2 linked regions of the Oryzias latipes genome follow. The protein of the gene in region 2 interacts with the protein of the main gene of each other region in a biochemical or structural test. Links are inferred from orthologs where the notes say so. Each region holds a gene or a part of one and is shown on either strand. Other genes may lie near its edges.

Region 1 (4,329 bases), on a different chromosome or scaffold from region 2:
GCACCTGGGAAGTAGAGGTGGCTGTCTGCAGCAGTCGCTGTTCCTCCCATAAACAGCGGGCGACAATGCGGGCGATTTCCATTGGCTTCTCCAGATACTTGCTCTGCAGATGCTGCTTTATCCTGCGCAGGTTGTGTTGGTAGAGGACATTGTTCTCCTGGAGGAAACGGCTATACTGCTGATCAATTTCTCCCAGGAGATTGTGGAACACCAGGGTGGCGTGGGATTCTTTGTTGGCAGCATAGGCCCTTAGAAAATAGTGGGGGGAACACAAAAACATATCGATTTCCAGATTCCAACAACACAAAATTCCCAGGTTTATTGAAAAGAAATCCCAACTTTGTGAAAATATTTAAAGACTATAATTTTTGTGTGTGATCACAACACAAAAAGTTCAAATTGAACATGGTAAAGTGCATTGCAGTAACATAAAATGTGAGAGAAAGTGTTTATATGAGCTATGACTTCATAGCTGCAAACCTAAAAGCCCTGAAAGATCAAGGTCAGCTTTATCTAGCAGATAAAAGCAGACTTTTTAAACAAAGACTTGAATCATTTCTTACCAGTCTTGACTTTCAATCCAGGGTGCAAGAAACTGGCGTAGCTCCATTGGAAAGCTGTCGCTGTACAAGTGGTAGAGCTGCTCCAGATACCTGGTCTCCAGCTGCTGTAACTGGTTCCACTGAGCCATCCTGACAAGCACTGCCTCAAATCTGCCAGAGATGAAACTGCTTTATCAACACAAAACAGGCAGAAAATCAACAGAAAATGATACTTTAGAAAACCGCGCTCAATGTTCTTCATCAGACTGCACCAATGGGAAATGGTTGAACATCAGATTTCTCTGAAAACGACAACAGGCCAATGCTGAGGCCTCGCGTTGCCAAAAGTCATTTCCTGTTCTCTGAAACTGTGCCTTCCCCTAAAAAATATAGGTCAGAGTGAACAGCTGTAAAGCATTGAAAAGCTTATCTCTGGTCAAAGAATTGCCCCGGCAACTTTTGCATGAAACACCGACAAAGCAAACTTCTTCCTCTCAGATGCAGAGGGCATGGATCAAAACCCAGACAAACCATTTCCTCTGAAGCGATAGGCGACTGTCAGATTAGGATTTCCCTTCAAATCCGAGCGTGTGTTTTAAGCATTAACCACCTGCCGATCTGGGACTTTTTGTTGTTTTTGAATTTATCGATCACATCCTGCTGGCTGACTCAGCTGATAAAAGATGGCTACTGCTTCCTTGTTTGCAAATTGAGCTCCCATTCAAGGCATTTAACAGAAAGACATGTCCTGTACCACCCATATTAGGTTACAGGCTCCAGTTTCTGTCCGAAAGCTCACACAATGCTTTGACTATTGTTACACAAGCTTTCTCACAACAGTGTCTGTATTGTTGATTCTGCTAATGTGAACTAGATGCTTGCACTGTATTTGAAAAAAGCAAAACAAAAAATAAACTCATACATATGACCTTCTCAATAGCCAAAATAATGCTCTTCCTGCCCAGAGAATACAGATCAAAGCTGTAATAATATACAGGGTATGAACTTTCATTGCAATAAATATCATTTGGACAAACAAAAAATGTTTTATGCTATTTATTCTAACAGCAAAACTGAAACTGGAGTATTCAGAGCTTATCTGACACAACACAGGAAACTCATTTTAGGGTACTATCACTATTTTAATGTTATTTTGCAGCAAATTATATATAATAATATATAATCGCAATACAAGCAAAATCTTGTAACGAACCTCCTTACATGAAAAAATACAGGAGTACTTTTATCACAAATTTTCAGAAAAGCCTTGTACTAAAAAGTAAAACAACAACAACAACAACAACACTGAAACTTTCTGTTTGATCTTTGTATTTTAATGAAATATGAAGTAGACATTGCTGCATCATGTTGAGAAATCTAGGTATGTAAAATCGCACAAATTCACTACAGTCACTGATTAATCGTTTTCTTTCCTTTCTCAAAGCTCCATGCAGGTCACTGCTATTTGAGAAATCATCAGAATGATTAATAAGAAAGTCAGAAAGAGAACTGCTGTAGTGTTTTTTTTTCTTTTCTGTGTGGTTACTTACTGGTAATGCACAATCCTTACATAAGGTCAGTGATATTCCAGGAAAGTACTTCCTTATTAAACATCAGAGCACAGTCACCATGCCAAGTTTCCCTTTTACAAAGCCTGGGACTGCGAGATGGCTCAGGGACAACAATGCATGCTATTTTATGATATTTATGTAGAAAATTGTCATGCAGCCATATTTATGCTTTATACTATACATGTATATGTAATTCTATGTACGTTTTCAGAACTATTGGGGGCTTAAATATACCTGCAGATCTTATTTGTGCTACGAATGAACAACAGTACTTTTCTTCATAAATATGATGGGCGGGACAACTAAGGAAAAAAACAATAAACAACGACCTCCATACAAGTAAATTATTTAAATTTAAGGCACCAACCACCGGATAGTCGAAAAAGAAACACAAAAACGTCATCACTTTTGAGTCCTGGTCGTGATATTATTACTAACTAACGTCACTCAGCAACTAACATTGAAATGTGTGATGGCTTTAGTTTAAAGACTTACGTAAGAAAGACCCCTGGCACACGATGTCTGTCTGTCTGTCACTAACTTTAGGCATGATGCATTCACAGAATTATATTACATTTGACTGTAGCTAAGTTATGGCTGTAGCTCTAGCTTCGCTTTAGCACGACATCCTTGGAGAAAACTAACTAATACAATGGCAATATTTTGAATTTTTCTTTGTTTTTTTTTTTTTTTTTTTAGTGTAATAATATGTTAACAGCTGAGTCACGACTTACCACCTTCGTTGGATCCGGAGCAGTTTGGTCTCTTTCCCACAAAAAACACAAGCTCACAAAGACGTCAGCGACAACTTTTTAACGAAGAAAAAGTAGAAATTGAGCGTCATAAACGAGGAAAAGTGCTCCCAAATATAGTGTAACGCAAACCGTAATCTTCGCACCACGAGAAACCACTTTCAGAAACAAGTACCCCCCCGCCCAGCCCATCAACTAAACTGCAGTCTTTCCAGCCAAACAAACTTCCAAATCTACTTGGTTGACATTTCATTCCGCCAATGAGAGTCGCTAATTTTTTTTATACCAACTATAAACGACTTTATATGGAGATAAGGCGGGATGTAGCAGCAAGTTTGGTTGAGCCTTCTCTGTTTACCGCTGTCGCAACGAAGCTGTTCCTCAAAGCAAACCCTCCCTCCCGCGGAACTATACGGAAGCCCGTGTGTTTCGCTTATTTCAGAGGGAGGGTTGGTATTTCAAGAGAACAGCCAGCCTGGAAGTCATCTGAGTTACCGGCAACGTTGACGTCATCAAATTTGATAATGATACTGCTTCACAATAGCCAGACCTTTTTCACGGTAGAAGAGTAAAAAAAGAAATGATGACTAATTGACTACTCTGACTGCTGGCTTGAATATTAAAATGTAAACAAACGATAAAGTTGTACAGTTTTCTTTATTTTTAATTAAAAATGCAAATAACATAACCAAAACAGGTCTTACATTGCTGTTGCAATGTATTCACCTTATTCCTAGTGTGTTAGTTATGACTGTAAATTTAAACAAGTCCAAATGTACTGTAGTGAAACACATGATTCTTAGAAGTAATAACTCTATAATGTACAAAAAAAGTATTATTTTACAGGCTTAAAACACATATTTCCTGCCTCCACCATTGTAAATAATGTGCTTATTAATAAACACATTCTTATTTTCTACCAACATCATTCCACCCCTGTGCATGCTTTTTATTTCTCTTTTAGTCTGCTCTCCATCCTGCTCTGAGAGTGCACTCTCCCTAATTGCATTTTCCCACCCATTGATTATTTTAATGCTGTTTTCTGCCAGAGAGTGAGTGTCTATGTGTCTCCATCACATCAAGGTCATCACAACTCTGTAGGGAGACAAAGAGGAACCACCCTTTGCTCCTGTCTGGAGCCGTGTGTCCTTAGCTTTTAATGAAATGAGGTGTCACCGGCTGAATCTATTCTATCAGCTGCAGAATTTCAATTACAGTAGCTTTTTCTCATTTTGTTTGGCTCCTTTCTTCAAGAGAAAATGACTTTTTTTCTTCAAGATTAATGAACAGAGTCTTTTTTTTTTCAAATTGCAGTGCACACACTTTATTCAGAAACAGACACACAAATTCACCTGGTTTCCATGAAAAATAAACCATGAAAGTTTTGGTTGTGCAGGACCAAATCCTATATCAATGACACTTTGCTTATTTTTAATTCAAGATGTTTACACATGTCGACATTGT
Region 2 (3,821 bases):
TATCACATTAAACCAGTAATTATTGCTACACATTCAGATCAAGTAAAGAAAATCAATAGCTTATTGATTGTAATTTAAACATTTCAGTGATCATTATTGCACATTACAATGTAATAATCATTGATTGTAATTAAAAGAGCTTTGATTATTTCACCACAATCAAGTTCAAACATTTATTTGGAATTATTCAAACACCTGTTGATCCTTAACTCTTCTTATCTTTATATCGTGAAATCAGAGTTTCTTTATACCTTTTCTTGAATATTTGAATATTTTTTTAGCTCATTACTAAACCCGTTCCAAAATTTAGTGCCACACACCGACACAGAGAAACATTTCTTTGTGATTCTTATCAATTTGATCTTGAAGTTCCTACATCCCCTCAGTCTGTAGCCTCCTTCATTTTCTAAAAACTGTTTTTGGATATTGAATGGTAACGATTTACCACTGACTCGTATAAAGGTTGCGCACTGTAAAAATCCACAAGGTCATACAGTTTTCAAAGTCTGGATTCATAAAATAAATTGTATGATCAAGATAGCCAGCTTTATGACGGCTCGTTTTTGAAGTAAAAGATGTAGTGAGCTCTTGTAATCATTCCCCAGATTTCTATACAGTAGGTGAAATATGGCAATATTAAACAGTACAATACATATCTTCAGTTTTATTGTAAAATGTATTTGGATTTACTTATAACTGAAATACTTTGTGAGACTTTAGTTTGTATGTGTCTGATGTGCAGCTTCCAACTTAGTTTGTCATCGATAACAAGCCCTAAGAACTTGTAACATCTGTAACACTTTCAATTAGGGCATTATTTATTTATTTCAACTGAGAGCTCGGTACTGGCGTTGTAGTTACCAAAAACATCACTTTGGTTTTATCTAGGTTCCAAGATAATTTGTTGTAATCCATCCATGATTTTATTTTGGTTAACTCTGTGTTTACCACATGTTCCCTATGATTGTCTGTAGAATAGAATATGTTTGTGTCATCAGCCAATAATGAGTTTCATAAGCTTTGAAACATTGAATATATCCTTTATGTATATATTGAATTGCAGCGGGCCCAGAATTGATCTTTGTGGGACACCTCAACTTATCTCAAAATGACACATGTTTTTTTGATATTGGGTCAAATGGCATATTGATAATTAAAAGACCACTGGGAACGTTTTTAAAATAGGTCAAACGATGATCTGAGTGAGACAAAATACAAAATATCTTCACTGTATTTTTTTATGCAACTGTGACCATAAAACGGAGAAATGTAATGTTTTTTTTGTGACTTTCATCTAAACTTAAATTTTAGCTTTGATGCTTTTGATTGTTGCATTTGTCTATAGTTACACAATCCCTGCTTTTGTTCGGCTGCCTAACACATCCCGCTGCTCCTCCTCCCGCAGACTCAGGAGACGCGGGAGATTCTACATTTTCACTACACCACCTGGCCAGACTTTGGGGTACCAGAATCTCCCGCCTCTTTCTTAAACTTCCTGTTCAAGGTGAGGGAGTCCGGCTGTCTGAATTCCGACCAGGGACCAGTGGTGGTGCACTGCAGCGCTGGCATTGGGCGCTCTGGGACCTTCTGTCTCGTGGACACCTGCCTCTTGTTGGTTTGTACCCAAACTTCATTTGTGATTGACATTGTTCAGGACGTTTTGAGAATTAAGAAGCTGAAGCGTGACTATAAAGATGTGGAACATGGAGGCTGACGTCCTGCATGCCTTTGCTGTTCAGATGTCTCTTCGTAAGGACCCATCCTCTGTGCGTATTCGCGACGTGCTGCTCGAGATGCGTCGCTATCGAATGGGCTTGATACAAACTGCAGATCAGCTTCGCTTTTCTTACCTGGCTGTAATAGAAGGTGCCAAGTACATCAAAGGGGATGTATCTCTGCAGGTAACTTCTTGTCGTCCTCTCCCCTGCTCAGATGTTTGCAGGCTGTTGTCAGATGCACGTCGATAACTTCAAGCATCTTGCTTTTAAGGAGTCGTGGAAAGAGCTCTCAAATGAGGAAGACGACCCTCCAGAGTTCACACCTCCCCCTCCTCTTCCTCCTCCGAGGGACCCTTACAACGGGAAAACCGGGAGGTCCTTTTTCCCTGAACATGTAGAGATCATCCCTGAGATGAGGATTCCCACTCTTGGGTAATATTTTCAACCATGTTCTGATTCTGTGAACAAAGGTTGACTTCCATGGCTGCTTTTTATTGAACAGAAATGCATTTCAATAGTGAGGTTTACTTTGAATGAGGGCTTGATACTCAAAAAGGAAGAAAACAAAACATCCTTACATCCGTCATCACAGACCTGAGCTTGTCCCCCCCCCTCAATTTAACCCTTAATGTCCATTGATAAAGTGATGGAGAAGCTGCAGACAAGATGGTGCCTGACATCATCATCCGGAAGCAGAAATTATACAACTAACCCTAACCCAAAAGTGTTTAGAGTTGGAAAAAGTAAACTTTTATTAAAGCTTAAAACAGGAAAAATGGTAACTCTTGGCGCCGCCAGTAAAATAGTTTTCTTCGAGCGATATGGGGAGACTTCTGGTTGAGGAGTTCCGGTTTTGGCAGTTGATGTCTGCAGCTAGGTCCTCTTGCACTGATGATGTTGAGAGCTTACCTTTATTTTGGAGCTGCCACTGGATGACGGCCGCTTCCAGCTGGATTTGTTTTTGATGACTTGCTGTCCCACAACAGTCCGAAGAAGGCAAAAATCTAAAATAAGAATGAAATTTGAGGATGTTTTTACTACAGTCTCGATACAAATAAAAAAAAAACATAAAGTTCAGGAGCAGCTCAACAATCAACTCCTTCCAATTTATTTGTTTGGAGGATAAGCCCCTTGAGATGTGTCATCTCGTTTTCAAGGGGGTCCTCAACATACAACAAAACAAGCAAATGCCGACAGATACAGTTGAGCAAACTTTACATATGTCAAAACAGAGAAAAACTTAAAATTTCCAAAACAACGAGCAGACACACACACATACCCACACACACACAAACATTGACATTTAATGCTCCTACTAGCAGTTAGTTTAAGGTAAGGAAACAAAAATAATAAATAAAAAGCAGAAAAGAAATCACTCCTCCATGTTGGTTTTGGACTCCAGCCGCTGTTCACATCATGAAGTCGTCACTGCCAAAGCTTCAAAATGCACCGCAGGACTTCCTATCACATCAGCACAATAACTTATCCCTGAAAGGCCCCTGCCACACAAATCTCGTTTTAGAGCTGATCGCCCTTGTCAAACCTGAAAGTCCTCATTAGGTTGTTGTAGAAGCTGTGGAACTGTAGGGCAGCTCTGGCAGAAGAAGCAGTGATGCAGAACCTCCCATCAGTGCAGCGTGACTGAAAGGAGCTGGAGCCTGTGAGGGATCTTTGCTAGAATGACGGCATGCCGATCCTTCAGCCGTCAGCTGCAAACTGCTTGCTGCACGTCATTTCGCATGTTGTAGCTTGCAGTTTGCTCAAGCAGGAGTTAATTTTGTTTTTTCAAACTGTCAATATCAAATATGCATTGATGTGCGACTTCTATTACTTCAACAGTGACGCATTTTGTAAAAAAAACAAACAAACATGAAGATCTTTTCAGGATAAGACAGTGATCCAACAGTCATGCTTTGGAATATTTGAACCTCAGACTCTGTTTCAGTATTTTGAGGTCATTTGTATTTGGAGAGCAACCAGATTCTCCTTCATGTTGGTTTTTTGACTCTACTCGCTGATCGCATCATCAACGCCTCACAGCCAAAGCTGAGTCGCTGATTGGTTGACGCAAAGCAAATTCTTCACCAAAGTTCAAGTTCTCGT

The links.
Region 1: of the proteins of ptpn1 (region 2) and stat3, one has a biochemical effect on the other in vitro, tested with the Homo sapiens proteins (2 studies listed by BioGRID and IntAct). The link is inferred for Oryzias latipes from reciprocal best matches to the Homo sapiens genes PTPN1 and STAT3.

The regions. Positions count from the first base shown.
Region 1 is NC_019866.2:6,345,029-6,349,357, forward strand, and holds the start of stat3 (signal transducer and activator of transcription 3), read right to left. Parts: upstream 3,047-4,329; 5' UTR 2,848-3,046; intron 714-2,847; 5' UTR 692-713; coding exon 564-691; intron 249-563; coding exon 5-248; intron 1-4. UniProt on the Homo sapiens protein: Signal transducer and transcription activator that mediates cellular responses to interleukins, KITLG/SCF, LEP and other growth factors. Once activated, recruits coactivators, such as NCOA1 or MED1, to the promoter region of the target gene.
Region 2 is NC_019865.2:21,849,368-21,853,188, forward strand, and holds part of ptpn1 (tyrosine-protein phosphatase non-receptor type 1), read left to right. Parts: intron 1-1,405; coding exon 1,406-1,615; intron 1,616-1,739; coding exon 1,740-1,901; intron 1,902-1,989; coding exon 1,990-2,150; intron 2,151-3,821. UniProt on the Homo sapiens protein: Tyrosine-protein phosphatase which acts as a regulator of endoplasmic reticulum unfolded protein response. Mediates dephosphorylation of EIF2AK3/PERK; inactivating the protein kinase activity of EIF2AK3/PERK.